Linked DNA regions of Pelodiscus sinensis. The protein of the gene in region 1 interacts with the protein of each later gene in a pairwise test. Links are inferred from orthologs where the notes say so. Each region holds a gene or a part of one and is shown in the gene's direction. Other genes may lie near its edges. The genes, in order: SH3YL1 and SH3D19.

Region 1 (16,035 bases):
CACTACAGAAAAACAAATTCAAATGTTTATGTTTTTCTTCACACAGTTTATATAAATACTGACTAGTTAGAAGAAAGTATATTTTGGCAACTGTAAAAATAAAAGACTGACCTTATTTTCAATGTTTTCATCAGTTACAAGTTTTCTAAAAACCGCTTCTGCTATGGGTGATCGGCAAATGTTCCCTGCAAAAACAAGAGATGGAACTAAAGTTTATCTATAGTAAAAGAAGCAAGACATTGGTTGTAAAGTATTGGCCAGCGTAAGTCTGCATGGACAGGATTGTAGTTCACATAGTTCTTTAACAGTTGATTTTATCAAATCCCCTAGGTGAATCCATTGCCAGTAAAGACAATGCTGCTAGAGCAATATGTTTATTTCCATCTCAGTACATGAGGGGAGTGAAGAAACTGCACCATGGAGCCTGCCACATACGGGACATCACTTGCATTTAATCCCGAATCTTGTTCCCCTTCTGTATGGTGTAATTACATTGCTTCTCCTCCCCCCACCAGAAAGACTTTCTGTAACCATAACTGAAATAGTAGAATTTTGAACTCTGTCTCAAATGAATGTTAACACCAAGTTTCTGTCTCTGTCTTTCATAGTTTTACTCAGAACAGTCTGGAAATTCTAAGGCAGCGTTTCTCAGCCCTTTTTTAAAAAAAGATATAAAGTATCCCCCCCTTTTTTTTAAAAAAAAGAAAAAAGTACCTCCAGTAGCTACAGTTTTCAGACATAACATTTTTTTTCTACCATTGCAACACATTTGTTTAAACAACTTAATTGTAGCCGAGCAGGCAATGAAAATTGTGTGTAAAAAGTACAAAAATAAAGCAGTGCTGTAAAACTTAAAAATTCAGTTTTCTCCAAATTTCAGTTGTGTTGACATACTCCCCCACGCTCCCGACTTCGAGTACCCCTAAGGGTACTCATACCACTGGTTGAAAAACACTGTTCTAAGGGACTTCATATGACTCTCATCCCCATGTATTTCCGATGCACTCACAACATATAGAATATATTTCTGACTACGATTAACTGGATGATTTGTAAAAGTTTGTTTAAAGTATTCATCTTAATCCCCAGCATGGTCCACCTGAGCTGCATTTTTCACTCTTAAAACAATCTTAAACAATGTAGAATGCTAAAAATATTTGGGAATATCACATCCTTGCCCAAATAAAATAAAATTCAATACAAATTTTGCAGACATCATGAATACAGCACATATGAAGAATGAACTATATTCCTAGAAGTGGTCTCTTCACAAAGAAAAAAGTAATGTTACTGTAGGGGGAAATACAAGCATCTATAAGCCATCCACCAACTCTTAAAAAGTGTATGGATTCTTTTCAAGGATTACAACTGGTCAGAATCTCACAGATGAAGGAGCTTAATGTCCCTCATACGCTGTTTACAGTACATAAATATGTTCCTGTTAATACTCATGCACAGCATCATTATAAAAATTAGTTTACATTAAGGATGTAAAAGATCAACTAGTGATCATCATCCTTACCCAGCATTTTGAGCAGATCCCTTTCTGCCATGGACAGGGGGCAGCTCCAGCCCCGCAAGACTTACCAGACAGGGGTGCCAGTCTGCTAACTGGTCATGAACTTCTCTCTGTCTGGCCGTGGCACATTGCCAGACCATGCCTCAAGCTTTTATTTAGCCCCCCGCCCCCACTGGAGTTCACCAGGGAATTCCCTTCCTACCCACTTATCCACGCAGCAGCAGGGCAGGTGGGGAGAAGGGCAGCTGGGACTGTGGTGAGGCTGTTTCTACTGGGGCAGTAGGACCAGTTCTTTAAATCCGGTTCTGGAATCCACAAGAGGAGAGGGCAATTCTTGTTTTAGTCCTAAGCGAAGTGCAGGATCTGGTCCAAGAGGTAAATACACCTGGACTTGGAAATAGTGACCATAATGTAATAAAATGTAACATCCCTGTGGTGGGAAAACAAGAGGACTAAAACAAGAATTGCCCACTCCTCTTGTGGATTCCAGAACCAAATTTTCATCTCTCCATCCTGTCCTAAGGTGATGTGTACGCAGTCAATATGGGAATAGTTGAAATCCCCCACTTTTATTGAGTTTTTCATTTTGATAGTCTCTAATCTCCCTTAGCATTTCATAATCACTATCACTTTCCTGATCAGGTGGTCAATACTATATCCCTACTGCTATAGTCTTATTATTGGAACATGGAATTACTATCCACAGAGATCCTATGAAATATTTTGGCTCATTTAAGATTTTTACTTCATTTGATTCTACATTTCCTTTCACGTATAGTTCCACTCCCCCACCAGCACAACCATTCAATATATTTAGTATCATAGTAGGGCTGTGTCCCATTGATTGTCCTCATTCCTCCAAGTTTCCGTAATGACAATTACAGTAAAACTCCATTGGTCTGGCATCTGATGGTCCGGCACTCCTGATGGTCCGGCACCATCAGGAACCCGGAAGTGCTCCGGGCAGCCGGACCATTGGAGCTACTCTGCCCCCAGCTTCCCTGTTTCAGCCAATGCTGAAACTGACCAGCGGCTGAATCGGGGAAGCTGGGGGCAGAGCAGCTGGAGTACTGCCTGATAGGCCCCGTAGCGCTGCCCCTCAGGGCTGCGGGACCAACCCGGCAGCAACCCAGCAGTCCCCATTCAGCCACTGCTGAAACTGACCAGTAGCTGACTCCAGGAAGCCCTGGGCAGAGCAGCTCTGCCACAGGCGTCCCCGATTCAGCTGCTGCTGAAACTGACCAGCAGCGGCTGAATCGGGGATGCCTGAGGCACAGCCGGACTATCGGAAGGGGGGGAGGGGCTATGAGGGGGTCTGTGGTGGTATCCCCCCCACACCACCCCAGACTCTTCAGCCCGGCATATCTGATAATCCGGCACCCCCTGGGTCCTAAAGGTGCTGGACTATCGGAAGTTTACTGTATATCAATATCCGCCTTTAAAACGAGGCATTCACCTATCTTATTACTTAGACTTCTAGCATTTGTGTATAAGCACTTTAAAAATTTATCTGTCTGCCATTTCCTGATGTGTTAGATTCTTTTTCATTTGATTGTCTCATCTGATCTGACCCATATTTTATCATCTTTCATCCACTCCTAACTAGAACATAGAAAATCTCTATTAATAGACCTTCCCCTAAGAGATGTCTCTGTCTAATCCATGTGCATCTCCGCACCCATCGGCTTTTACCCAGCCCTTAGTTTAAAAACTGCTCTACAACCTTTTCCATATTACATAGAACCAGTTAACCAATTCAACAGGATTTTACAGAGGTAGTTTACATCAATGCAACTTAATTGGAAATTACCAGAGTTAACTGCACCTGTGTAAACCCCATTTTAGATTTAGATGCAGTTACCCTAGAGCAAATTTCTCTAGTGTAAAGAGGCATTAAGACAAGTCATTGCTCCAGTATTTATTGGAGGAGAGTATCATTTAATGCATCACCAAATACACTTTTGGCAGTATATCAGGGCCTCCTGTTCAAATACATATCTGGGCTGACATCCTTGCTATGTGAGTTTCTGTGATCATAACTTAATACAGCTGCAAAAGCTTTTATAAAAAGGTTAAAAAAATATTTTCATGTGTGAGGAAACCAAATGACTGCATAACAGTTTTCTCCAGAAGGTATGTTTTTTCTTCACTACTTTTTAATAGTAAGGACATGTCCCCTTAATCCCTTCTACCTGAAGCAGAAAACAAAAGTGATTATTTCTACAGCTTTCATCAAGCAAAGAACTAAGTTTATATTAGTAAGCTATTGTCCATATGGCTGAGGCTTTTCAATCACTATGTAAAATATAATGTTTATTACTCCTAAACATACAGCAAGGCAGGGGTAGGCAACAAGAGACTCAGGGGGGCTGGATGTAGTTTGCCAGGGTTAACCCTGACATGGTAAAGCACGTCCAGCCTGTGGGCTGCTTATTGCCTACCCTGGGATTAGAGAATAGAGCAGACAACTGAAAGTTAGGGAAAGAACACAGGAGCTCTAAATTGTCGCATGCCTGTGGATAAAATCAACTACAAGACACACAGAATTTAACAATCTGCATGTAGGGTATAATCTGCCAGTTACTGGCACTAGGAAAATTAATGGATGAGCACCTACAACAAAAGATACTATACAAGTGTAAAAAGAATATATATATATATATATATATTTTTAAAAAGTCTACCCTTAAATTAAATAAAAACTTCAACTTGTTCTCCTTTTCTCAGTCCCAATTTCTCTTTTATGTATTTGGGTTATTTGCATTGTTGTATGTTTAATTTATAGTTCACTGAGAAGAAAAAAAAATCAGCAATGATCTAATTAGGCATGTATTAATTAGATATTTTGCTGCATAATGAATATCAGTTTCTCTTGTTATAAACAGAAAGCAGATAAGTGAATATTTGACTATTATTTTTTTTTCCGAAACAAATGCATAAGAAAACAATCTGACTGTCTGAACCCTTTTACACTGTGGAATTAACTCTCAAGAGCATAGGAGTATCTTCAGAAATGATAGGCTGTTTCACCCCTCAGACAACTGAACACTTGAATTATTGAAAGTTTCAGATATTTAAAGTGTGGATTAAAAATAACATTTATAATTTTGAATTGACTGGACTCTCAGTTTTATTCTTTGAATAAAATATTACATATACTTAATGTTAATAGTCTATCAAGATCATTTTTAGAGCACAGGAAATTTTAGACCACTACAAGTTGAACGAGGGGATTTTCCATACCAGGGGAGGTCTCTCCCAACATGGCCTGTGCTGTTCTGCTGCCTGCCTCCGCCCCAGCTAGGGCTACTGCCTGGCCCTGCTACTGCCTGCCTGGCCATGGCTAGTCAGGCTGGAACTCCGTAGCTGCTGCAGCCAGACCTAAGCTCCGCAGTCAGAGCTCTGCAGCCACAGCTGAATCCCAAGCTCTGCGGCCAGAGCTCCACAGCCATTTCCAGACCCCAAGCTCCAATGGCTGGAGCTCCACAGCCACTGTGGGACCCCAAACTCTGCAGCCGGGGCTGGAGCTCCCTGGCTGCAGCTGGGGCCAGAGCTCTGCGGCCACTGCTGAACCCTACTACCTCCTGGCCACAGGGAGAAGTCTCTGCTACACCACCCACCCCTCTGCACACATTCCCTCCCCAATGGGGCTCCCTGGTGAGTTGCCGCCCCCATGGCCAGACCTCCCTATACCTGGGCTCTCTGGTCCAGGAACATCCCTGGTCCTGCCAGACCATGGATGTTGCCAGACCAGAGAGTCCTGGTTAAGGCAGGTAAAACCTGTAGAAAAACACCACAAAACTCAACAATGGCAGAAAGAAAGCACAATTCAGTCTTAAAATTATATTTTAAATGAATGAAACTGACAGGTCAGCATTTATTACAAAAAATAAGCTCTCCCACACATCATTCAGCCTTTGTTGTCATATGACTCCAACTCTTTGGGTAACTAATATAAGGAAAACATTCAAGGGAGTTAACATTCATTACAATCATTTCAGATCAATCACTTGTTCTTTCAGACTTTATTCATCCTTCCCTGAAAATAGTTAATATGATTTATTCTCTCCATTCCCAAATTTCTCTAGTATTATTTAACACTGAGCTAAACACACAGAGCAAGCCATGTCCCTGCCCCAGAGAGTTTACAATCTAGAGGTGCTCTATTAGTGGTTATTAGCTGTTTAATTAATTGTAGACAGAAGACATTAAACTGTAATTTGCTGTGTAATGAATATCAATTTTTCATTATAAATACAAGGCAGATATGGTTTCATAACAGGTCTAATTTAACAAATGAAGACTGGCCTTCTCAAGGATCATCTTAGCTTGCCACACTCTTATATTATGATGTCAGTGTGTAGACAACGACACGATTAAGCGATAACCATAGGTTTATCAGCTAAACCTGCTGGCTACATGTATCCCTCCCTCCCTACACCATTCTGCCTCTGAATAAGAGGCAGCAAGGGGGGGGTGACGGCTTTTAAGCAGTCTCTCCACGAGCACAGGATCTGCATGCCATCCCCACTCTTGTGCTGCTGCCTCTGATAGAGAGGCAGCAGAGAGGAGAGTGAGGGGGGCAGGCAGGAGTTGATACATGCAAGGAGCCAACTCCCCCGAGCATCAACAACACAGACCCACCAACTCACCCCACCCTCCCCGGCGCTGCTGCCACTGCAAAGGCTGCTCTGCAGCAGCAGCCTCTGTTTCTGGTGGATTCAAGCTCCTCGCGGACAGAGGATGCTCTGTGCCAGTCTGTGCAAGGAGATGCTTTTTATAGATGTAGGAGCGGGACCTGGCAGGAGGTTCTCCAGGAGCGGGGCTAGGAGCTTACTAGGGCTGACCCCACTCCCAGGGACTATTGAATAGTCATGTAACCACTACAATTCAGTAATTATGTAACTGCATCAAATTACATGCTATCTAATATATATCCAATATCCCTATTTCTAAGTGAAATTCTTCTCATTTCTCTTCACTGATGTTTATCTTGTTTATTTCAGGAAATTCAGAAGTTTGTTTACAGCCTTTCTTCCAAACCTGGTGTCACACACACATGCATATTCTCTGCCCCATTAAATAGCTCACCCATAAAAACACGATAGTATCATAACCAGAACCTTCGCTGCAAACTCTATCGGGGAGATACTAAGCATGAACATGTAGCCTGCGGCTACACGTACTATGACCCTGTATCAAGGCCTCTGGGCACAGACCACAGCTCCTTGGGAGTGGAGTGAGCAAGCAGACTAGGAAGGGGAACGTGGATAGGAAAGACTCGAACTGCGTATTAAAGGAGCAGGGGGCTCCTCAGCTACGCAGGGTGCACCTCTATCCTCCCTCCATTGAGTCACTCACCTTCATCTGCTTCCTGGGGAGCTGGGGGGAACCTACTCGGGAGGGCACGGGCTCTACTCTTACCCCTCCCCAGCCCGCCCTTCCTGCGGCTGCTGCCCCGGAACGGCCCCTCTCTCCCCTGCGCGGCCGCCCCGCACTCACCCAGGCACACGAAAAGCACAGACTTCACATCCCCAGCCGCCATCTTCCTCCCCCGGCCGAACCAAAAAGAAGAAGGGTCCTTCCTTCGGGCTTCTTCCCTTTGCCAGACCGTCGCGAAAACTTCCCCGCGCTTTGCGGCGCCGCACGTTAACGGCGTCTATTGTGTGTGCCTGATAGGAAGTGAAGGTGGGGAATAAAAGGCACTACAATATTCTCGCACAGTCTGGCAAAGCCACTGGGGCCCGAATAATAAACCCATCATGGCGTTGACGTGTGTAAAAACATCAGGCACTTGTATGGACAACCCCTCTATCCCTCCCAGCTGCACCTGTCCCAGGTGAGCAGCTCCCAGGGGCCCTTCCTTCACCTTGCAGCAGGCAATCAGGGCTGCGAGATAGTTTGGGCCTGGCAGCGTCCTCTCGCCTCTTCCCAGTACTGTGCAGCTGTAGCCAGGAGCCTCTGGAAGGTGTTCCAAGAAGTGAGTATGGAGGCTGCTGTGCTTTCAGGCCGGGGAAGGGGGCCAGCCCTATGCTGGGAAAGGATCGTGGTTCTTGGGGTCCTACCTTCCCAACTCCTACTGGGGAGGTGGAAATTGGGTGTAAGTCTACACCTCAAAATTAAGTTGACTTAGATCAACCTGTGGCTATTGCAGTACTTAAAACGTTTTTGCAGGTTAGCACTTGCACCTTCTGTCAGTATTGTGCACCCTCACCAAGAGTGCTTGTGTAAGTCTTCTGCCAGGTAGCACCAGCAGCAGCCAGGACTGGGTTCAATATCTAAGGGTTCCTCTGCATCCATCCAACATAAAACTGGTGTGAGCCTCCACTCAGTAACCTGGGAAATTCACACAATACTCTATGGGTGCCTCTGAGAGGCAATGCTTCCCCACTCCAAGCAGAGAGTCTGAGTGGAGAAAAAAAACCTTTAATAAAAGGGGAGGGAACTAGTGTGTCATTAATTTGGGAAAAACACATGGTTTGTAACCAAAACCATGAGAAACAGTCCTACCCCAAGTAGGTTGGACACTGTCCTTTTCCTCTTGACTTGTTAAATCCAGCAATGTAAATGTCCCCTTCATGTGCCCAATCCTTCTCTGCACACCACTCACAATTGCTGTCCTTGGTCAGGACAAACCCAGAGTTCAGAGGTGCATCTGCAGAGTTCGCCTCTCATCCTGAGTGGGGGGAGATAAGGAGGCATCTTACTCCATTAGTCACTACCATCCAGCTGCTCTCTGCATTGCTGGCCATTTGTCTCACCTTGCTGCTGTTGCTCTGCTGGCCGCTCTTTACATCTCTCCATCGCTGTCCTGCTGGCTGCTTTTTTGCTTCTCCATTGTCACTCTGCTGGCTGTTCATCGTGCTGCCGACACTCTGCTAACCACTTGTCAGCATCTTTCACTGGCTTGTGGTGAATTTGGCTCTGGGCCAAATTTAGTGATTTCAATTCTTGGCCCAAAGTACAGTCCAGCCACAAGAAATTCCAGCATACATTAGAGTAATTTTAAACTAATAAAGAGACTCCTTATGGCATATGCTCTAGTTCTATCATTAGAATAGAGTGCAGGGGGGAACAGGTTGAACCCATCTTATAGCTCACACCTGGAGGGCATGTAGCTTGCCGATTCAGAGCATTCTACTCTTCCCCCAGATAAGGTCACAAAGCTTTGGCAGGTGAGACCTTGTGTATCCAAGGTTCTTTACACTGACATTCTCTCTCCTTTTGAACTGAGCTAAACACAGACTGACTTTTCTGCATTCCTACAATAACTGCAAGCACTGGTGATCATATCTCAAAATTCCTGAATTTAGTGTCAACACAGTTTGTGACTCTGTGACAACCAAACTGGTTACAATGAGCAAAACACTATTGTAACAGCTGAATATCTAACACATCTAAGCAAATCAGGGGCAAACTGTATTTACATAAACACATCCAGGATTTCTTTCCCGTTCCAACCTGCTGTAATGGAAGCATTGATTCAGACCCTGCTTACACTTGCAATAATTTAACTGTCAGTGTGAGGCATGATAGTGCACTGGCAGCTGGAGTGCTCCACCAGGATAGGCAGCCAGCTAGAGTTATTATTTTTCAATTTGTGATAGAAGGAATCTTTCCCTCTTCCTTCCCTGGGCAAGGCTGCTGCAACCCATACCCCTCAGTAGTTATTTACAGCATCTACAGAGAATGCATTTAGATAATGTTAGCACAGTTTTCTTAAGCTGTGGAAGTAGGAGTACTGCAGCACCTTTAGCAGGACAGAGAAGCTTTTAACTTAGATATCCCAGTGTATTGTGACTATTACTAAATGTTGCTTTAGACCTATGTGGAAAAAAAACCCCTCACAGATTAAAGAACTTTTTGGGCAACTGGCAAATCCATAAAAAAGCCCAACCACGCTGATTAAATTCCAATCAGGTGATGACCCTGGCAGCTGGAATGCTACTACTCTGAGTATCAGCTCAGCACAGTGGGCTTCTGGTCTTTTAACTGCCAGTCTGATGTAAGCAATGTAGTGTCAATGCTAATGCAGCATTGACAAAACCATATTGACCAAAATTGTCACACCTTTTTCAGAGATGAAGTTGTTCAGTCAGTATACTAGGTGACTTGCACAAGCAGGAGCAATATTGTAGTGTAGCAATTTTTAGAAATAAGCCAATATAAGACAGCTTCCATTAATCTAACTCTGTAGTGTAGACCAGGCCTAAGTTAGGTATTCCTCTTGCATCAATAGCCCCCTAAGCCCATAAATCCTGACATCAGTGTGCCATAAAAGCTAATCTTTGGGATCTGCTGGAAGGTGGAACTGGCTATTTTTTTGTTCCCTATCTTGCAAATTATACAGCTTAAATATATAAAATTTATTTTCCAATGCTTCATCAAAAACCTACAAACAAAAAATGTTATTGCAGCTCAATGCAACACTACTACAAAAAACACAGTCTATACTGGGATTCTAGGGGAGCCTGCTGAATTTCAAGTCTTCAGTTTTCATTGGAATATAGAACATAGATACTACAACTGCACCTTTAAAATCTGGCTCCAAATTTCTGATCTGACATTTTGATCCTTTGAGATTTTGGCCAGAAATTGGATAACCATATTAGTGAAATGGGGAATAAGTGTTGCCTCTCCCATTTAATCAAAATAATCTGGCTCTTAGCACTTCCTGATAAAAGCAACTTTCATGTGCTCTAATTTGATAACTGTATTGGGCTGATTGAAATAATCTTGATCTGCACTACCATCTTCTAGTTCTGTTGCCTAAATTTAGTCATGGTTGATAAACATTTATTTTTTTCTTTTTCAAAATAAACCTCTTTAAAATGTGAAAACGTGGCAACCTATATTAAGGACTAAATTCACTATAATCTGTAAAAAGTAATTTGAACTACATTTTAAAAAAAACATGCTTCCTGCTAGTTCTGTAACCTTTAGTGGAAACCACTGGCTAAGGACCTGGAACCAGGTTTGGGTGAACACCTGCTTTTGACTGCAGTAGTCTCTTCTGCAGGTGAATAGACTATATTTTCTTCTTTATTCAGCTAATTCATTTAAATTAAATGATTAATTCATTCAAAGTTGAAAAATGGATTGGGAGTTAAAAAAGAAAAGCTTGTTTTTCTTCTTGTAATATGTGAATAAAAATGAGGTGTGAGAAGATGAGATTAGCTGGAGTTCAAATCTTGAAGGACGTGCTGACTAGAAACAACCTTCATTGGCTTTTGTTTGAGTTTATGACTTGTTTACATGCTAGACTCCTTGGCCTATTCAGCAGGCTATTCAGTAGGCAATGTACAGAAAGTCTGTTTATCTCTACTGGCTTTCAAGTCTATGAAACCCCCCCCCCCCCCCCAATTCAATTAATTAACTACAGATAGTTACTTTATTTAATGCATTAATTAGTTTTGATAAATTTAGGATTTCCCCCCTTATTAATCATGCATATTTTAGGTAGTTTTTAATTAAGAAAATAAAATTGAACAATGCTGGTTTTGTGCATTTTTAATTGAATTTCAAATGCATATTTCATTTCAAAATGAAATAATCATAAAAATATTCACAATTTTCAAACATAACAAATGTTAAGATTAGGGCTCTCCATTAATCACAGGTAACTCGCACAATGAACTACAATTAATTACACTGTTAAACAATAGAATGCCAATTGGTATTTCTTAATATGGATATTCTAGGATATTCAACATATTTATAAATAAATGATCTGGAGAAAGAGGTAAATAGTGAGGTGGCCAAATTTGCAGATGATCCTAAACTGTTCAAGAAAGTTAACAAAGCAGATTGTGAAGAGCTTCAAAATGATGTCACTGAACTAGGTGATTGGGCAACAAAATGAAAAATGAGTTTTAATGTTGATAAATGCAAAGGAATGCACACTGGAAAAACCAATCCCAACTATACATACAAAAGGATGGGGACTAATTTAGCTGTAACCACTCGAGAGAGCTCTTGGATTGGATAATTCTCTGAAAACATCCACTCTGTGCAGCAGCAATCAGAAAAGCAAACAGAATGTTAGGAATAATTAAAGGGGATAGAGAATAAGACAAAGGATCTCTTATTGCTGCTATAAGTCCATGGTACACCCACATCTTGAATACTGCATACAGATGTAGTCACCTCATCTCAAAAAAGATATATTGGTGTTGAAAAAGGGTCATAAAAGGGCAACAAAAATTATTAGGATTTGGAATGGGTGCCTTTGAAGAGAGATTAAAAAGACTAGCCTTTTCAGTTTAGAAAAAGAGGAGATTAAGGGAGGAATATGATAAAGGTCTATAAAATCATGACAGTTATAGAGAAAGCGAATAAGGAAAAGTTATTTATTTGTTCCCATAACGTAAGAACTAGGGGTTACCAAGTGAAATTAATAGGTAGCAGGTTTTAAACAAACAAAAGGAAGTTTTTCTTCACACAGTGCACAGTCAGCCTGTGGAACTCCTTGCAAGAGGATGTTGTGAAGACCAGGACTTTATCAGAGTTCAAAAAAGAACTAGGTAAATTCAAGGAGGTTAGGTCCATAAATACTTATTAGATTGGGTAGGAATGGCATTCCTAAACTTTTTGTCAGAGTCTGGAAATGGATGACAGGAGAGGGATCACTTGATGATTGTTCTGTCCACTCCCTTTGGAGCATCTGGCATAGGTCACTGTTTGAAGACAGGACACTGAGCCGGATGGACCTTTGTTCCAACACAGTACGACTGTTTTTATGTTTTTCTGCATCTTCAAATATATTAATTTATATTCCAATGCAGAACAAAAAGTGTATAGTGCTCACTTATTATAAATATTTGCACCGTAAAAATGATTTAAAAAATATTGGTTGGATATCCCTGTTCCGGCACCCTCAGGATCTGACCAGTCCCAAATGAGAGAGATTGCCAGACTAGGAGAGGTTCCCTCCCGATGCAGGCTTGCCATCCTGTTTTACTCTTCCCTGCTGTCAATGACAGTGGATCCCCAGCTGCCACTGGTCCTGTTGGGAATTCCCCACGCTGGGGATCCACATCACCCTCCCTCGGCCTGCAATAAGTGCCCCAGCTATGAGCTTTTTCATTCAGCAACGTTATCAAGGGCCATAATGGATTCTTCATCACTGACTATTTTAAATAAAGATTAACCATTTTTTTGTGAAGTAAATGTTGTAGCAGTTATTTTGAGAGAGTTCTGTGGCATCTATTGAAGTGGAGGTCAGACTTGATCAAAATGGTCCCCTCTGCCCTTGGAATCTATGAATTTCTGTAGTGGAAGTAATCTCTCATAAACTTTGGCAGTGAACATCTACTTCTCTGATATTTTTAATATAATTCTAATCATTTCAATATATTGTGTTAAGCTTAAATCTTAATGTAGGCTGTCAAATTTAAAACTAATGTTTAAAAGTTTTTAACATCCTTAATTTATATTTAAAAATCCAATTTATATAAACATATTTTAGCCTGTTTTCAACTGTGCTTCTGTTCTGAAAATTTCTGTCTAAAAATGTCATGGTCATGATTGGCATATGTGTTAGCATGTTTCATATGAAAATCATTTTATGTTTGTAAGTAAACATGTTTTTGTAACTGCCAGAGCTGCAAAGTCAACATGGGACCTTAGAGAAAAGTTAGACTTTATTCTTCTTTAGCATCATCTGCAGGCCAAATAAGGTTTTTAGTTACACTTGCTCAGCTCAATTTCTTTCAGTGGAGCTACACAGATGCTTCTGAGTGCTTCTTATACAAACTGTCTGACTCACTAGTTCCTCGGGAACGTAATGACTGTTTATCTCATATATTCTAGTTAATTAAAAGTAAGGAAGCATCACATAGCTTATTAGCTTAAACCTGAAACTTCTCTATGTACTGTAAACATATATTATTTTTCTTAAAAAAACCCAAACAAACCCAAAAGTGCCCCATACAGCTGCAGTGGTATCATTTTACTCTGTTCTGTTATCAGCTATCATTTAGAGAAATTATCCTAGGAGGATGAGAGAAAATTCAGTTGGTATATTAAGGGGTTTGTTTCAAGCTATTTTGAATACAGAAGCTGCTAGGAGCTGAGATCACCAAATCATATTCATAATACTTTTTTCCTCTGTATTATAATTGTTAAAAGTCAGATTTGCCTGAGAGTTTTCTCAAAGCTAATAGTATATTGGATGGAACATTAATATGAAAACAAGTTACCAAGTGATGAATTGTTTGGATGAGCTAACTGCCTGCCTTAAGTGAGCAAAGTACAGGTTGTACCTCCCTTAACTGGGACTTTCTGCTCCAGCAGCATCTGTAGTCTGGAAGGATCAAGGATGTTTCTGGACGAGAGAGCCCTGGGACAGGAGGCCCAGCAGCTGAGAGCCCGGAGGGCTACTGGTAGTGGGGCTAGAGCTGCAGAGCTGCAGCAGTTCAACTGAGGCCCTGGCAGCTCAATCAGCAGTGCAACCTGGCAGAGGTAGCCTGGCCACAGCCACTACAGTGCACCAGGGGCTACGTGCCACCCAGCAGCAGGGCAGGGTCACTTGGGCAGCATTGGGCTGGGGCCATGGCAGCCTGGCAGGGAAAGTCTGGTTGAGACCACAGCAGCTTGGTATCAGAGCTGGTGCCATGTAGGGTTGCCAGATGGTTGAAACAAAAATACCGAACACCACCCCCTCCAAAAAAACAAACAAACAAACAAAAAAAAAAAAACACCGGAAAAAAATTCTGTTGAAGGGAAGAAAAAGGGGGGGGGGGGGGGGGGAGGAAAGGACTCCAAGAACTTAAGCCAAAAAATAAAATAAAATAAAACAGCATTAAAACAGCATGTCCCCTTTAAGAGTGAGTGCAAGGATAGGAACAGGGGAGCGGTGGAGCACTAAGACCCAGGGGAAGCATTGCTTCCCCTAGGTCTTTTGGCCGGCAGCCATTTTGTGCCAGCAGCCTTGGGGAACCAAGTAAGCATGGGGGCTAGGGCCCGGGAGTTTGGGGGGGAGGAGGCCAGATGTTGAGTGTTTGTAGGGTTGTCAGGTGACTGGCATATTCGCCTCCTGGCCTGGGAAAAATTCAGAGAATACCGGACATCTCCGGTGTCCGGTATTCTCTGAATTTTTTTTAACGGACAGGAGGTGAAAATACCGGACTGTCGGGATGAATACTAGACACCTGGCAATCCTAGTGCCATGGCTTCTGCCGCCTGGCAGTAGCGCGGAGAGTGCTACCTCAGCTCACCAAGCACACCCCTTCCACCTAAGATCCCACCCCTTCCAGGGCTGGCCTGTGACCACTGCCAAAATTGGTGAAGTGTCCCCCTGTGACAGGGTGTATCAACCCCGCACTGTAGCTGATTGGCTCAGCTGGATCGGGGCCAGTGTAGACGCTCTTTTCCGGCTTTTCTAAAAGCCGGAAAAAAGCGGCGGACATTTTTATTTAAATGCCGCGGGGGATATTTAAATCCCCCGCGCATTTCCCTACTGCGATTTCAAAAATTACCATGCCCCTTCCAGAAAAGGGGCCAATGTAGATGAGCCCCTATGGTCCAGCATGATTTTAGTTTGCCAGGTATCCACTTAACATGAGTGTGGCCAAGTTTCCTGCGGTACCATAAAATTTGTTTACAGGTTTTTTTGTTGATGCCAGTCCTGGCTCTCAGTGTTCTGTGCTGTTGTTTAGCTCTAATTTACCCCTAAATTTCTTCTTTTAAGGCAATAATTTTTTGGAGGGGGGGCACACCAAGATTTTGGTAAGTGGTCAAGGGCCTCGCTTTTCTTTAGAGGGAGTGCGTGGTCTAGGTTGGGTGCAGAAGGGCACACAGGGTAAGGGACTGGGGTACACAAGATGGTGTGAGGTCTGAAAGGGTGTTTGGGTGGAGGTGGGGGTTGTGACCTGGGTCAGGGGATTGGGGTGTAGGGTCAGGGAGAGCATGTGGGTGCAGAGGATTCTGGCCTTGAGGAGGGGTGTAGAAGGTTTGAATGGTGATCTGGGGGATAGAGTTCGGTAAACTCCTCCCAGCCTGCACCTGCCTCTGGCACCCCAGCCCCTCCTTCACCCTAAGTGTCAGGTGGGGAAAGAGGCTTGCGCTGTTCCCCTCCTCCCCCCCACCCCCCGCCGTCTCTCAGGCCAATCTCTCAGCTCCAATTGGCTGGCTGTTTCCAACCAATAGGAGCTGAGAGATTAGTTGAGGTCAGTTCTTATTGGCCAGTTGTCGGGCCAGTAGGAGCTGAGGAATGGGCTGAGGGTAGGGAGATTGCACAAAGGCTTCCCCTTCCTGCAGAGCAGAGAGCCATAGGGACTGTGTGTTACACGCGGCAGCTGCGTGCCTGAGGGTCACAGCAGAGGGGTTCACGGGACAGATCCACAAATCCAGGCCTGTTTATGGTTGAGCAAGTGAATATTTTGCCCAGCTCTGTTCTAAGAGCTACTGTGGCAGCCAGAGCCCCAGACCGCTTTGAATTTCCATGGGAGAGCTGGGGCCTAGAAGGGGGTAGAATCATAGAATAATAGGACTGGAAGGGACCTCGAGAGGTCATC
Region 2 (16,636 bases), on another chromosome or scaffold:
TTCTCGTTCCTCTATATACTCTTTCAAGATATGATATTGCCTGAACGGGATTTCCCCATAGCTGCGGACAACAATACTGAGTTAGAGAATCATAGAATCATAGAACACTAGAACTGGAAGAGACCTCGAGAGGTCATTGAGTCCAGTCCCCTGTCCTCACAGCAGCAGGGCCGGCTCGAGCCATTCCTGCGCCCTGGGCAACAGGCACGCAACGCATGCGCGGCCCCGCCCCCTGGTTTGCTGCACACCTTACGACTGCCATCGGGTACATAGCACCCGATTGCAGCTGTAAGAGGTGCTGTGCGGCCGCCGGCCACAAGTGCGCAGCACCTGATGGCAGCTGTAAGGGGTGCCGCGCAGCCGGGTGTATGGTGCCCCTTAGAGCTGCCATCAGGTGCCCCCCATAGGTTGGCACCCCGGGCAACTGCCTGGCTAGCCCTCCCTTAATCTGGCCCTGCACGGCAGGACCCAGTACCATCTAGACCACCCCGATAGATATCTATCTAACCTGCTGTTAAATATCTCCAGAGAGAGAGATTCCACAACCTCCCTAGGCAACTTATTCCAGTGTTTAACCATCCTGACAGGAAGCTTTTCCTAATGTCCAACCTAAACCTCTCTTGCTGCAGTTTAAGCCCATTGCTTTTTGTCCTGTCCTCAGAGCCCAAGGAAAACAAGTTTTCTCCCTCCTCCTTGTGACACCCTTTTAGATACCTGAAAACTGCTATCATATCCCCTCTCAATCGTCTCTTTTCCAAACTAAACAAGCCCAATTATTTCAGTCTTCCTTCATAGGTCATGTTCTCTAGACCTTTAATCATTACAATCACTGGGGCTATGAACTTACTGCAAAACCATATACCTCATTTAGAACTGGAAGTATGCAGTCAGCAATAGAAAAACAAACAAACAAAAACCCAGCATATACAGTACAGGACAGTTAAATTTAAACTACTAAAAAAAGGGAACGTTTTTTAAAAATTGATAAGGTAAGGAAACTTTCTGTGCTTACTTCATTTAAATTAAACTGATTAAAAGCTGCATTTTTCTTCTGCATAGTAATGTTTCAAAACTATTACATTGGCATTTAGTTTGTAAACTTTTGCAAGAACAGCCATAACACCTTAGAGTTCTGAAGAACATTTATTCCCAATGAGTTCATATCTGTGGGGTTCTTCTGCAAATATCTAAATATGCAAATATCCTCTGTTAATATACAAGTCACTCCTACATACTAAACTTGAATTTATAGGAAAAAATATCTAGGCTTCAGATATCCATAATATGCTTTGGAATTCACTAGCTCAAGTATAGATCTAAACTCTGAATTATTTAAGTGAAGATGGACAGTATAGCAAAGAAGACATTCCCATGATCTTACTGTGAAAAAGCAGATTGACAGAGCTGAAAAAGTACCCACACATGAACTACTTCAAGACAGGCCCAGAAGAGAAAACAACAGAATTCCACTTTTCACCTACAGTCCACAACTTAAACCCTACCAATGCATTATCAACATCTACTATCTATCTTAGAAAATGACCCCTTACTCTCAGAGGCCTTGGGGGACAGGCCAATTCTCGCTTACAGACAACCCCCTAGCTGCAAAACAAATTCTTTCCAGTAGCCACGCAACACACCTCCATCATAATCACTCAGGAACACACCACTGCAATCAGCCCCGATGCCAAGTCTGCACGCACATCTATATCAGCAATTTCATCAGTGGACCCAAACGACATAAGCCACCAAATAAGAAGCTAATTTAACTGCATATCCACTAATATGATCTATGCCATCAAATGCCAGCAATGCCCCCCTGCAATGTATATTGGCCAAACTGGATAGTCTCTACGGGAAAGAATTAATGGACATAAATCAGATATCCGAAAAGGCAATACACAAAAACCTGTTGGAGAACACTTTAATCTTCCTGGACACTCATTAATGGATCTCCAAGTCGCTGTTTTGTTTCAGACCAATTCTACAAGCCAAATACACAGAGAAGGACTGGAACTTAACTTCATTCACAAGTTTAATTCTAATCCTCTGAACTGGGATATAGGATAGCTCACACACTATCTTCTACCTTTCAATGACTTAAACAACCAACCACACAATGAAGGTGCTAATGGTTCTTAGCAGCCTCTTGAAACTACTTGCACTATCTAATCACTGTCTCTCTTTTTCTTCCTCCCCTCCCCCCCTCCCTTATTTATTCTTGGATCTGGACTTATTATGCTCCCATCATCTAAGAAGTGGGTTTTGCCCATGAAAGCTCATGATACCATCTACATGTTTTGTTAGTCTTTAAGGTGCTACTAGACTATTTATTGTTTTTTAAATTTTTCCTGTTACAGACTAACTCAGCTACCCCTCTGAAGCTTACTGGTTCTGTAATCCTAGACCAAGCTTGGAGTGGATCCAGCACATTATTTAGAGCAGGCCTTCTAAATTCAACAGATGATAAACCAAGAGGCTATTCAGGCAGGTGAATGTCTGAGGAGTAAATGAGTATCCTGATTGTACTCCACGTTCAATAAACTCCTTCCCACATATTTTGGAGACTAAGAGGGGGTATGTGGAACCACACTACAGTAGAGAAACCCCCAAGGGAAAGTTCTACCATGTTTTTAGTAGCTTTATTACCCACATGGAGTAGGTGAAAAACTCCAGCTTTCATTGCAAGTTGGTGTATCAAACAATTCTAAGATCTTCAGGTTAAGTCATTTTTAAATCACAGCTGCACAAAATGAGTTAGAATAATTTTAAATAAGTTGAAATCCATTCTTTTTTACCACAGCTGGTTAGATTAGCTGCAATAACTTCACTTTTTGCATAGATCAAGTCTGTGAATTTTTAAGAAGGGGTCAAAATGTGGTTTAGAATTACATAATTTTACAGATTTAACTGTGCAGTCCACTGTGATTCTATAAATATCACACTGCCCCTGGGAGGTAAGTCATATTATTGCCATTTTACAAATTGATAAATGCAGGCTGAGGGAACTTAAATAATTTGCCCATGGGACTGTAATGATTGAGCTGGAACTAATCTACACATAAACATGAAAATTCTTCCTCCTTCAGTGTACTGAAAACTTAAATAGATATGTCATTTTTTTCTAGTGAGAAAGAAAAAGGAGCATTAAGAAAACTTCTTATTGGCTCAGATGGCAATAGAAAGTTTATGATGCATCACACATACAGAATGAGAAATGACTGTCCTGGAAGGACCACTGCAAAAAGGGATCTTGGGATCATGGTGGACCTAAGTATGAGTCAAAAGAGTGACACTGTGGGAAAAGAAGCAAACATGGTTCTGGGATGCATTAACAGGAGTGGTGTGAGCAAGACACGAGAAATGATTCTTCTGTTCTGATTAGGCTTTAATTGGAGTATTGTGTCCAGTTCTGGGCACCACATTTCAGGAAAGATGTGGAGAAACTGGAGAGGATCCAGAGAAGAACCACAAAAATGATTAAAGGTCTAAAAAACATGACCTATGAAGGAAGACTGAAAAAATTGGCTTAGTTTAGTTTGGAAAAGAGAAGACTGAGAGGGGAAATTATAGCAACTTTTAAGTACCTAAAAGGGTGTCACAAGGAGGAGGGGGAAAACCTGTGATGATAGCACAAGAAGCAATGGGCTTAAATTGCAGCAAGGGAGGTTTAGGTTGGGCATTAGGAAAACATTCCAAATTGTCAGTGTGGTTAAGCACTGGAATAAATTCCCTAGGGAGGTTGAGGAATTATCATTGGAGATATTTAAAAACAGGTTAGACAAACATCTAACGTGAAGCCAGGGGACTGGATTTGATGATCTCTTGAGATCCCTTCCAGTTCTAGTATTCTGTGATTCTAAAACCTTGATGGTCAAAAGCAAGGCAGTAAACAATCATATCTCCTAGAACTAAATACAAAACTGATAAAAACCATTCTGTAAAGGTTACTGAAGAATTCCAAGTTGCCATCCACTGTTTGCTTGGCTGTAGGACTTCGGGTAGATTGCATTACACTAGTTTCTTTAATATATCATATGTAACTCCCCATTTGTAGAACCCTGAGTACAAGGTTTGTGGTTACACTTTGAGGCTACTTTCTCACAACTCCTTCACTGTATAAACACTATTACTCTATTTCAGAAAATTAATTTTCTAAACTTTAGCAACTCTATGGATTATAAAACCCCTACTTTCAGAGTCTTGTCATGATGGTGGAGGTAGCCACAATCGATTAAAAAGATGCAAGGGAACCAGTCTTAACTGGAGACATTTCAAGGGGGCCTGAAGGATAGCTGTATATCATTTTTCAGCTACATCAAAATCCAGTGGATCCAGCTACCCAATGAACACAAATGGAAGTAAAGTCATCAGCTCCTCACTCTCAGCAATCTATTATCTACTTGTATTTTCTGTGTCAGTCTATTGGGAACATTCTTGATATCTTTGATCAGAACAGAAATGTGTTTTAGTATCTAGGAGCTATGTTTCCCCTGTTGAAAACTATATTTAATTCCTTACATTTTTTACAAAAGCACTTATTGTTGTTCTCTGGTTGTCAGGGAACTTGGATCCTGTCCAAATATCGATGCACTTGTTCCAGGTTTCAGCTGCTTTAAAGTGAAAACCTGAATTGATATTTGACCACATGAGCAGTTCTTTAGCAAAAATATTTCAGTGGAAGAACAGCTTACTTTTGTATGGCCGTATAAAGTACCATCTCCAGGGACAGGGATCAAAATAAAAGATCTCAGTGGCGCCTACAGTTGTAAAGATAACAAGTTATAGTTGTTCTGCAGAGAGTACTAAGGCATATTTACCTAGTTACACGCCCTTACAGGCCTTTCATCACTTAACATTGTGGAAGACTAAAGTATGTAAGTTGTGGTGAATAATACAGGTTTGAATAAGTTATTATACTATGGTACACTTTTTTCTTACACAGCCGTGCATGTGCAACATTTGTTACATGGTAAAGATAAATGTGTGCTCCTGGTCTCTAATGGAAATATGAACAGAATTTTCTAGGCTTGTTCAAAGTTATGATGAATCCAATTTACAGACTTCTCCCGCCACGATCTTGCTTCTCTGAAGAGGGCTTACCAGAGCAGCTACAGTCAGACTAAATCTACATATAGACCTATATCTAGACATTGTAGATCTATGTCTGTCTGGGGTGTGAAAATTCACATCCCAGAGTAATAGTTACGCCAATCGAATCCCCATATAGACAGCACTATGTTGACAGGAAAGCTTCCCCCGTTGACATAGCTAACGCCCTCACAGAAAAAAATTAAAAAACAACGAATAGTCTAGTAGCACCTTAAAAACTAACAAAACATGTAGATGGTATCATGAGCTTTCATGGGCACAACCCACTTCTTTAGATGATTAGAGTATTAAAAGTCCAGATCCAAGAATAAATAAGGGAAGGGGTGGCGGGCAGGGGAGAAGTTAAAAAAAGGGAGAAAAAAGATAGTGAATATATTGTTCAAGTTACAAGAGGCTGATAAGAACAATTAGCACCTCCATTGTTTGGTGGAAGTCAGATCCTAGTGAGGTAAATAGAAAGGAGCATAAACACTGCCAAATTAAATGTAGGTGTTTGTCTTTGTGGGATTGGAGAAAATCCTATTATATCTTAGGGCTTGGCTGTATACATAGATTGAGAAATGTGTCTGGGATAGAAGCTAGAGGCATGAAGGTAAGTGTAGTGGTCAATAGGTTTCCGGTGTAGAGTGGTGGAAATTTGCCCATAATTTAATTGTACTGAAGTGTCAAGGAAGGGATTTCTCTTGTAGATTTATCCAGGCTGAGGTTGATAGTGGGGTGGAAGTTGTTGAAATTCCTGTGAAATTCTTCAAGGGTCTCTCTCCTGTGGGTCCATATGATGATGTCATCAATGTAGCGTAAGTAGAATAAGAGTGTTAGGGGGCGAGAACTGAGGAAACGTTGCTCAAGGTCAGCCATAAAGACGTTGGCATGTTGTGGGGCCATGAGGGTGCCCATGGCTGTGCCGCTGACTTGAAGATACAAATTGTCTCTGAATCGGAAGTGGTTGTGAGGACAAAGTCGCAGAGCTCAGTAACCAGGAGAACAATGCGGTCATCGGGGATGGTGTTCCTGATTGCTTGTAATCCATTTTCGTGTGGAATGTTGGTATAAAGAGCTTCTGTATCCATGGTGGCCAGGATGGTGTTTTCAGGAAGATTGCTGATGTTCTGTAGTTTCTTCAGGAAGTCGGTGGTGTCTCAAAGATAGCTAGGAGAGCTGGTAGTAGTGGATTAAAAACACCAACAGGAGATGTTCTTTCATTGGTGTAGGAGCATCTTCACTATAGCTGGGGGAAGCTGTGCCTCTCCAGACAGACTACTATGGCCCCATTTGGTTTTCACAGATGCCCAAGTCTGCCTGGCCAGCCCAGGCTGGCTGGGACTGGCTGGCATGTCTCCCTCAGGGAATCAGGGTGGCTGGTGCTGGGGCCACATTGCCTGCCTGGTGCTTACACTGTGCCACCCAGTTTTCTGGGACTAGCCGCCCAGAGACCTGTGCTGGGGATGCAGCAACCACTCCAACCGGTGACTGTGCACCTGGCCATCTGCAGCATCAGGGCTGGGGTCATTGCTCAGAGGCTGTGGGTGCTGAGCTGTGCTACCAGGTGCATCAGGGCTGAAGTTTCACCCCCACCTCCAGAGCTGCAATAGGGATGCTCTGACTTCCTGCAGTGGAGGGGGACAGACGGGGGGGGGGGGGGGGAAGTGATCTAGCTACCCCAGGAGGCTGGGTCACAGTTGTCCAGCATCTTCACTAAAGTGCAGTGCTACTGTAGCACTTATGCAGGCTGGCTTGCAAATCACCTCTTCAGGAATGCATGATAGCGGAAACAATCAGGCACAGGCTATGCAAAGACTTCCAAAACCAAATACTCTTTACTTTATTAGAGAACACAAAAGTGTCTTTTCAAAGCTCCAGTTCCCCTCTTCAGGACTCAACTCCTCAAAGTCAGGCTTCTCTTCCCCATGAATCAATCAGTCTGCATGTGCTTGTTCTTGCTCTATCTCTTCCCACTCTGGAGCCCAGCCAGCATCCTTTAACCTTGGCTGATTCTGCTATCAAAATATCCCTCTCTCTCCAAAAGCTGTCCCTTTGTGCCACAGGTGAATCTTTTTTCTACCTCTCTCAGGCTCTGTAGTTTAAGACACAATATTAATACCCCTTTTTGTTCTGCTTCTGTGGAAATTCCACTCTTTAAAAATCTCTTGCAGAGAAGTTGGAGAAAACCTGTTCTCCCACCTTCAGCCAACCCATTGTTCCAAGGTGCTCCCATTTGAATGGGTGATGACCCACCCTCCCTCAACCCTGATCTGGAGATATCCTGGCAGCAAATGGTGGATTCCACGTCCACTGAGGCACTCTATGATACAGTGATTTTATAAACGCAACCAGGATACATCAACTGTTTGTGCATATTTAAAGCTTTAAAGCTTCATCAGGTTCTCCTTTAGCTCTGTATAGCTTTACAGCTTGTCTATTTCATCAACAGAAATTGGTCTAATAAAAATACTACCTCAGCTGCTTTGTCTCTTGTATCGTGAGACCAACACACTACAACAACACTGCAACCAGTTTGCAGGTTCCCAGCCTGTAACTATGCTTGGGATTCTTCCGTCCCAAGTGCAGGACTCTACACTTGTCTTTGTTGAATCTCATGAGATTTCTAGTGGCCCAATCCTCCAATTTGTCTAAGTCACTCTGGACCCTATCTCTGCCCTTAAGCGTATCTACCTCTCCCCCCAGCTTAGTGTCATCTGCAAACTTGCTGAGGGTGCAATCTATCCCCTCATCCAGGTCATTAATAAAGATATTGAACAAAACCGGCCCTAGAACCGAACCTTGGGGCACTCCACTAGAAACCGACCGCCATCCTGACATCGAACCCTTGATCACTACCCGCTGGGCCCGGCCTTCTAGCCATCTTTCTATCCATCTTACTGTCCATTTATCCAATCCACATTCCCTTAACTTTCTGGCAAGAATATTGTGGGAGACCGTATCAAAAGCCTTGCTAAAGTCAAGGTATATAACATCCACTGACTTTCCCATGTCCACTGAGCCAGTTACCTCATCATAGAAGCTAATCAGATTGGTCAGGCATGACTTGCCCTTTGTGAATCCATGCTGACTATTCCTGATCACTTTCCTCTCATCCAAGTGTCTCAAAATGGATTCCTTTAGGATCCCTTCCATGATTTTTCCAGGAACCGAGGTAAGACTGACCGGCCTATAGTTCCCTGGATCGTCCTTCTTCCCTTTTTTGAAGATGGGCACTACATTTGCCTTTTTCCAATCATCCGGGATTGCTCCCGATCTCCACGACTAAAGGAGCATGTTCTCAGCTTACACTACTAAAAGTAGTGTGCATCTTATGCACTGAATGGTTCCTTTACAAACTGTGAAAGGTTTGCTTTAAAGTAATTTCCAGGCATCATCCAGGAACTAGGGATGTTAGATATCATATAATTGAATAGTCATGTAATCAAATGAAATTTTAGCAGTTACACAACTATTTAACATTCCCCAGGGGCAGGGCTGGCAGCCAATGCGCTTCTAACCCCACTCCAAGGGAGCTCCCTGCCACCTTGCGCTGCTGCCTTTGTATCAGAGGCAGCAATGTGGAGTGGCAGGCAGGGCTGGTCTGTGCAGGGAGCCAGTTTAAAAACCAGCTCCCCTCGCAGACTGTCTGTCTGCAGGCCTGCGTTGCTGTCTCTGATACAGAGACAGAAGTGCGTGGTGGCAGCAGTCTCTGTCCATGAGGAACTTAGACCCCTCGAGGACAGAGGCTGCTTCGTGGCACCTCCCGTCTCTTCCGCCCCCTCCCTAGTTGCTGCAGTGTGTGCGTGTGTGTGTAGGGGGGGAGGGCCGGGATGGGGGGCATGCAGTACCACAGAGCTGGTGCTGGGGGGGACTGGCTTTTATGACCTGCCCCACCCCACTGCCTCTGTAGTCAGCAGTATGGGAGGGGGCTGGTAGGTCCACAGAGCCAGCACATGAGGGGAGCCTGTTTGAAAGCCAGCTCCCTGCAGGTATCGTCTCTAACCTATCAGGAGTAGCACTGGGGAGGTAAGGGGGGGCAGGTGGATCCAGTGTTTATGGAAGCGGCTTTTAAACCAGTTCCTCACAGGCACTGGCTCTCTCTCTCTCCACCTTGCTGCTTCTGATACTGAGGCAGCAAGGGGGGTGGAGACAAGCGTGTAGTAAACAAGATTAATCAATAAGCATAGGCTTATTATTAGTCATATAGTTGTCTACGCAACATACCTAACAGGAACTCTGTGGAAGTGACAGGGAGGGAGTCTAGTTCTCCGTGAGTCATTAATCACAAGACCATCCTTTCTTTCTCTGCCTTACTCAATAGACACCTACCCATATCTGCAACAAAAGAAGCAGAGGCAGTGGTCCAGTATCTTGTCTCTTTCACTACATAACCCATCTATCAAGTAACCTTAATTATAGGCAGCACTACTTTGTTCAGCCTATAATTATCTGAAGCCAAAAAATATATTGCTTGGACATTTCTTGGATATGGTGCCTATCATATTGGTACGTAAGCAACTTTTACTTTTTTCACAGCCTGTGGACCAAATTCAATGATAAATGCTGGTCATGTGCCACCTGAGACATGTTACACACACACACACACACTAATAAGAAGAGTAGGTTTTTTAACTTCTTGTACTTTTCCCAGTGAGAACCTTTGCTACTTAAAATGTCTCAGGAGGCTAGCCGGATTGGTCTGTAACTTTAAAAACAATTAACAGTCCTGTGGCACTTTAAAGACTAACAAATGTATTATGTCATGAATTTACCCACGAAAGCTCATGACCTAATAAATGTGTTAGTCTCTAAGATGCCACAGACTGCTCATACTTTACTACTTAATTCACCTTAATGTGAAAGTGCAATTTTTTTTCAAAGACAGCAAACCCTTTAAAACAGATCAGTTGCTTTATATTCAGGCACCAGTCTTCTTTTTTTTTCTGTCCTGATTTACACCTCTCCTAGGTTGCCACACACAGCTCAGTGGGATTGTACTGGGTATATCTCAGCATGCTGTTTCAACAATAGGGCTGGAGCCATAAATCAGCCAAGTCTCATTTGAACAGTGGCGATTGTTTGAGCTTATTTCAAGCAGTTTTAAAGGTCTTTCCCACTGGTGAGGAAGAATGTGCTGCATTCTTGAAGGAACATTGAAAATCCCACTCAATGCTGCACTGTTTAGAACGCTCCCTCCTTCAAAATGGTATCAGCTTGAGACAGCCCTGAAAATAATTTGGCTCCACAAGAGAAAAAAAAACTCGTGTCCCTTTTCCTTACATAAAAGTTTTCCAGCCTTGTCAAGTGCAACTCCATCTTCCTGCCCAGCTAAGAGGTCGCTGCCTCCTTCGCATTCTGCAGGCCTGATTGCTGCTTTTCTGCTCCAGGTACCTCCCCCTCCTCCTTTTGTTTTAGTGTCGGGCAGCAACGGAGTTTCCTGTTGACACCGGAATATTGTGAATGGGCAGGAAAAGCAAACGCCGCCTCCCTTTATTATCCTTTAACTTTCCCTCCCCAGCCAGGTAGTGCGTGCGCGGCTCCCTCTCCCCCCGGTCCGCGCCTGCTGGGGAAGGGAGGCGAGGAAAAAGCCCAAAGAGGATCCTGGGTGCCTCTGCTTAAACTTGAGCAGAAAGAGGCGGAGAGAAGAGGAGAGAGACCGCAGGGAGGCGCGGGGCAGAAGAGGAGCCGCAGGTGCAGAGTGGGGTGGCCGGGGCAGAGGCCCTAGCGCTGGGACGGTCGCTGCTCCCCACACGAGACAAAGAACTCCTCCTCCCCCCACCGTCGCTTGGCCCATGGGGGTGCCGGCTTCGTAAATGCCCCGCTCCTGACCCCTGGCTGATGGCTGAAGCCTGGAGGCTGGAGGACGAAGAGGAGGAGCGGAGGGAGCTCGGCAGAAGGCACCGCAGGGGTAACCTGAACTCTGCAGCAGGTAAGCAGGAGGCGGCGCGGGGGAGCCGCCGGCCCCCGGAGTTCAGGCCCGAGGCTAGCGAGTGCACGCGCGGGGGGGGGGGGGGCAGACGGAGCAAAACTGTGTTAATCTGTGACTGAGCCTTAACTAACAAATGCGGGTTTTTCGCCCTTCAGAGTTTGTTTAAAACCCTCCCTGGCGATGGTGAGTTTATCCCCCGTGTCAGGGGAAGAGGGAGGGGAGTCAGGGCAAGGTACAGTCATGTAAGCGCAGGGTTAGTTGGACAGGCTCTACTGAACGCTTATCTCCCTGATGAGTCAAAGCACCCGCTCATTAGTCAGAGAAAAGGTGCAAGGTCCAGCTTCCAGTGGGTGGTTAAGTGCAAATCCTATTGATTAATCCTTAAAATGCCTTGAGGATCACCAAGCCCCTGTTCTGTACTGAAGCTCCTCAGGGCACAAGGGTCTGCCAGCCTGGGGTGGTAGGCCTACATGTTGGCAAACAACCCCTGTCCTGAAGAGCTTGCAGTCTCAGGGAAGATGGTAGGTACTGCGCAGTCCAGGAAACGGGACTCAATACTTTTATAGGCGTCACAGAAGAAATAAGTTGTAGATTTTCTATACATAAAAGCTTTACTGATTTAACTAACCTAGATAACTGGTATAAATGTGTTCATACCAGAATAGTCTGCCCCAATATAGGAACGGGACTAAACTACACCACCAGGTGATTTAAGAAGGAATTTGAATGACAATAGGGCTTGACAAACAGGATCTAGGTGAATAGTGATAGAAATATAGCCGTGTTAGTCTGGGGTAGCTGAAGCAAAATGCAGGACAATGTAGCACTTTAAAGACTAACAAGATGGTTTATTAGATGATGAGCTTTCGTGGGCCAGACCCACTTCCTCAGATTAAAAAAAAAAGGATCTAGGTGGTAGTGATGGGGAGAAAGCCAGAAGACCAAGTGAGACATATTTGGAAGTCTGAGGAAACAGAAGGGTAAGAGAATGAGATAAGATAAAGGGTCAGTGTTTAGACTACAATAGATTTATATGGAGCCTTGAAGGCAAGGATAAGTTTTTTTCTTCTTCATATAATAAGCCAAGGGAACCAATACAGCCCAATAATAAATTATCCACGTAGCTTCTAATTCAGTCATTAGTTAAAGATCTTTTGTGATGAGCATCTTTTGCAAGTCCTTCAGGAGGCAGATATATTATTTATTGCTTCTGTCCATACAATATCCACTACCTTTTGTTTCAATTAACTTTATTATTAAAATTGAAAGAACTTTTAAAATCAGGTTTTAATTTTCAGCGTGTTTGTTTTCTTTCTGCATTTCTCTCATTGTTGACAATAGAAACTGATTAGTAATTTACATTTGACAAAGCTAGCTATATACATCAGTTTTAGAACCTTGCTCTGGCATTTTGTGTGATAGGAATAATTTATTTATGCATATTTAACTAGAAAAACACTTATGTTGATCTTAGATTTTGTAAAATTGTGTGTGTTCTCATTCTGGAACTAAATTTGATCCCAGAGTTCACTTCTAAGATATGAAACGTGTTTTAAAAAATAGAAAAAATAAAGGATTTGATTCTCTATTGCCCTATACTTTGTATAGTTGCTAATAATTAGTGAAAAGGAGTGTAAATTGCTACCATCTGTTTTAGTGGTGTTCTATACCTATTTTACTCTAGTATAATGACTTAATGCATGAGGGAATTTGCCAGACCGGGGAGGGCCCCTGCCACCGGCCCCCTTAGCCTGCCCCCTCTCCCCGCCTCCAGCTCCTTTGGCCAGGCTGCCAGCTAGGCAACACAGCTGCCCCAGCTCCGCTGCCAGAATGTCTGCCCCAGTCTTACTGATGGCATGGCGGCATGCAGCCCTGCCCCACTGCTGAGCAGCACCTGGTCCTGGCTACCTATCCTGCTACTGTGGCCCTGCTAGCGGGCTGCCAAAGCCCTGGCCCTGCTACCACCAGCCTCCCCGTGTGCAGGGCTTTCAGCTCTGCCCTCCTTCCCTGGGGGGGTGGGGGGGTTCTCTTGTCCAGGGACATCTGTGGTCCTGCTGGACCACGCATATTGCAGGACCAGAGAGTCCTGGTTTAGGGAGGTGCAACCTTTACAACATTTAATGTCTGAGCTAGAGATGTAATAGGGTAGTCAATTAACTGATAAGCAAAAAGCTTTTAGGTCAATGCTATAGGCTACACGCATTTCCCTCCCTCCCCGTTATCAGTAAATTTGTTAGCAGGCTAGCCAGAAGCCTGGTTCAGTCTTGGCTTGTGCCAGGTCCAGGACCTACCCCTGCTGCAGCTCTGCATTTAAAGTGTATTAGGAGCCAAGTGGGCAGGCACCCTGGCTCAGCTCCTGGACCCAGCGCAAGTTGGAACTCAGGCTCCCCCTGGTCAGGGACTGTTGCCACCTCTGTACCAGAGGCAGCAGGTCAGGGCAAGAGGCAGCTGGTCCACATAGGGAGCTGGTTTTTAAATTGGCTCTCCTCATGGACCAGCTCCCGCCACACTCAGCAGTGTGGAGTGGCAGAGGTCTTCTCGAGAGTGGGGCTGAAGCTGACTGGCTGCCAGCCTCACCACTCAAGAAAATCAGTAACTGATAAGGTAACCAGATAATGAGTGTGAAAAATTGGGTTGGAGGTGGGAAGAAATAGGCACCTACATAGGACAAAACTCCAAATATTGGAGACTGTCTTTATAAAATCAGGACATCTGGTCACCCTAGTAATTGGGCTTATCCAGTTAATAGTAAAAAGCTGTCATGATTGTGCTGCTGTATTTTGGTAATGTTATAGGCAGGGGCGGATATAGGGCAGGGCGAGCAGGGCAGCCGCCCCGGGCCCCGTGCTTCAAGAAGCCCCGCGCATGCGCTGTGGCAAAGGGGGGCCCCGCGAAATTGGGCTGCCCTGGGCCCTGCAAAATGGTCATCTGCCCCTGGTTATAGGTGTTTTGTAATACAGGAAAGGTTTGACTTTTAATACTGGCCTTGTTTTGTTCATTTGCTTAACCACATATTACTGTTATTTGTAATGCATCATGCCATCATCAGTGTGGATTAGAGAGGTTTTACTTAAGTTGTTTTTGATGTTTTTAAGATTCTCATGGGACTCCTGAAAATGGTTTTATTCGCACAAGGGTGGCTGACAATAAATGTGGCAAATAAGTTTCTTGTTACAGGCACCAATCGCTTTTCTAGACGATTTTTCTTACTCTGTTTCTTTTTATTATTATTTTTCAGATGTTTGACACTCAGGTTTGTAGAATTTCTTCATATCAGTTGGTCAATTTTAGGCAACAGAACAAATTCATAACTTGTATATTTTTCTCTAGATCCAGCTGAGAACAGCCCTATTTCTAAACACTCCTATGACAAATTTGTGGTGACTTGCTTTGGAACCTGATAAAAAGCTGGGTTCAGTAGAACAAAATAAAGATTGCATCAGAAACATGTAATCTCACGTGTCAATGTACAACTAAGAAAACGGCTGGGGTATGTTTGTGTGGGATAGGTTGATCCAACTCTGAAATGAGTGCTAGAAATTTACAAAGAACCATCTCTTTCACCAAAGAAACTATGAATCCTATATGAGAAAACTCTGCATTCCCATTTTTATGTACAATGGTCCTAAGAATAATAAACTATGTCTGTTTTTGAAATTATGGGGCCGTATCTTGCCCAGTTATGAGCTGCTTGGATGTTCATTGAAACATTAGGTGGACAAGGAGGTCCTTTTGGCACCATGCAGAAAGTGTTCAGTTCAGTACGTGGCAGGATTAAGCTTTATGAGATTTATATCAGCAAAAAAAAAAGTTTTATGCAAGAGAAAGTTATTTCTAAATAGACTCAGACTTTAAGGTCAGAAGGGACAATTATGATCATCTAGTCTGACCCCCTGCACAGTGCAGGCCACAAAATCTCACCCACCCCTCCTAGAATAATTCTCTCACCTATATCTCAGATATTGAAGCCTTCAAATACTTTGAAGACCCCAAGATGCAGAGAATCTCCAGCTGTGATCTGTACCCCATGATACAGAGGAAGGCGAAAAACCTCCAGGGCCTCTGCCAATCTACCCTGGAGGAAAATTCCTTCCCGATCCCAAATATGGCGATCAGCTAAACCCTGAGCATGTGGGCAAGACTCATCAGCCAGACACCCAGAAAGTTCTCTATAGTAACTCCTATCATCCCTCCATTGACCTATTTCACACTGATAATGAATGGTCAATTAGTTACCAAGATCATGTTATCTCATCAAACCATCCCCTTCATAAACCCATCTAGTTTAATCTTGAAACCAGATAGATCTTTTGCCCCCACTACTTCCCTTGGAAGGCCGTTCCAGAACCTCACTCCTCTAATGGTTAGAAACCTTCGTCTAATCTCAAGTCTAAACTTCCTACTAGCCAGCTTATATCCATTTGTTCTTGTGTCCACATTGGTATTAAACTTAAATAATTCCTCTCCCTCCCTGGTATTTATCCCTCTAATATATTTAAAGAGTGCAATCATGTCCCCCCTCAGCCTTCTTTTGGTTAAAGTAAACAAGCCAAGCTCCTTGAGTCTCCTTTCATAAGACAGGTTTTCCATTCCTCGGATCATCCTAGTGGCCCTTCTTTGTACCTGTTCCAGTTTGAATTCATCCTTCTTAAACATGGGAGACCAGAACTGCACACAGTATTCCAAATGGGGTCTCACCAATGCCTTGTATAATGGCACTAACACCTCCTTATCCCTACTGGAAATACCTCGCCTAATACATCCCAAGATCGTATTAGCCTTTTTCACGGCCATGTCACAATGGCGGCTCATAGTCATTCTATAATCAACCAGGACTCCGAGGTCCTTCTCCTCCTCTGTTACTTCCAACTGATGTGTCCCCAACTTATAACTAAAATTCTTGTTATTAATCCCTAAATGCATAACCTTACACTTCTCACTATTAAATGTCATCCTATTGCTATCACTCCAATTTACAAGATCATCCAGATCCTCCTGTATGATATCCCAATCCTTTTCTGAATTGGCAATAGCTCCCAACTTTGTGTCATCCACAAATTTTATTAGGACACTTCCACTTTTGGTGCCAAGATCAGCAATAAAAAGATTAAATAAAATTGGCCCCAAAACTGATCCCTGAGGAACTCCGCTAGTAACCTTCCTTCAACCTGACAGTTCACCTTTCAGTATGACCCGCTGTAGTCTCCCCTTTAACCAGTTGCTTATCCACCTCTCAACTTTCATATTAATCCCTATCTTTTCCAATGTAACCAATAATTCCTCATGTGGTACTGTATCAAATGCCTTACTGAAGTCGAGGTAGATTAGATCCACTGCATTTCCTTTATCTAAAAAATCTGTTACTTTCTCAAAAAAGGAGATCAGGTTGGTTTGGCACGATCTACCTTTTGTAAAACCATGTTGTAATTTGTCCCAATTGCCATTAGCCTCAATGTCTCTAACTACTTTCTCCTTCAAAAATTTTTCCAGGATCTTACATACTACAAATGTCAAACTAACAGGCCTATAGTTACCCGGGTCGCTTTTTTTCCCTTTCTTAAAAATCGGAACTATATTAGCAATTCTCCAGTCAAATGGTACAACCCCTGAGTT

Evidence for each region.
Region 2: the proteins of SH3YL1 (region 1) and SH3D19 interact in binary tests that used the Homo sapiens proteins (3 or more experiments, as listed by UniProt). The link is inferred for Pelodiscus sinensis from reciprocal best matches to the Homo sapiens genes SH3YL1 and SH3D19.

Annotation. Positions count from the first base shown.
Region 1 is NC_134713.1:35,443,559-35,459,593, forward strand, and holds the start of SH3YL1 (SH3 domain-containing YSC84-like protein 1), read left to right. Parts: upstream 1-7,340; 5' UTR 7,341-7,498; coding exon 7,499-7,499; intron 7,500-16,035. Other genes in the region: ACP1 (low molecular weight phosphotyrosine protein phosphatase), read right to left, coding at 1-2, 112-185, 7,022-7,064.
Region 2 is NC_134715.1:54,734,519-54,751,154, reverse strand, and holds the start of SH3D19 (SH3 domain-containing protein 19), read left to right. Parts: upstream 1-10,517; 5' UTR 10,518-10,932; coding exon 10,933-11,023; intron 11,024-11,528; exon of another isoform or gene 11,529-11,544; intron 11,545-16,636. UniProt on the Homo sapiens protein: May play a role in regulating A disintegrin and metalloproteases (ADAMs) in the signaling of EGFR-ligand shedding. May be involved in suppression of Ras-induced cellular transformation and Ras-mediated activation of ELK1.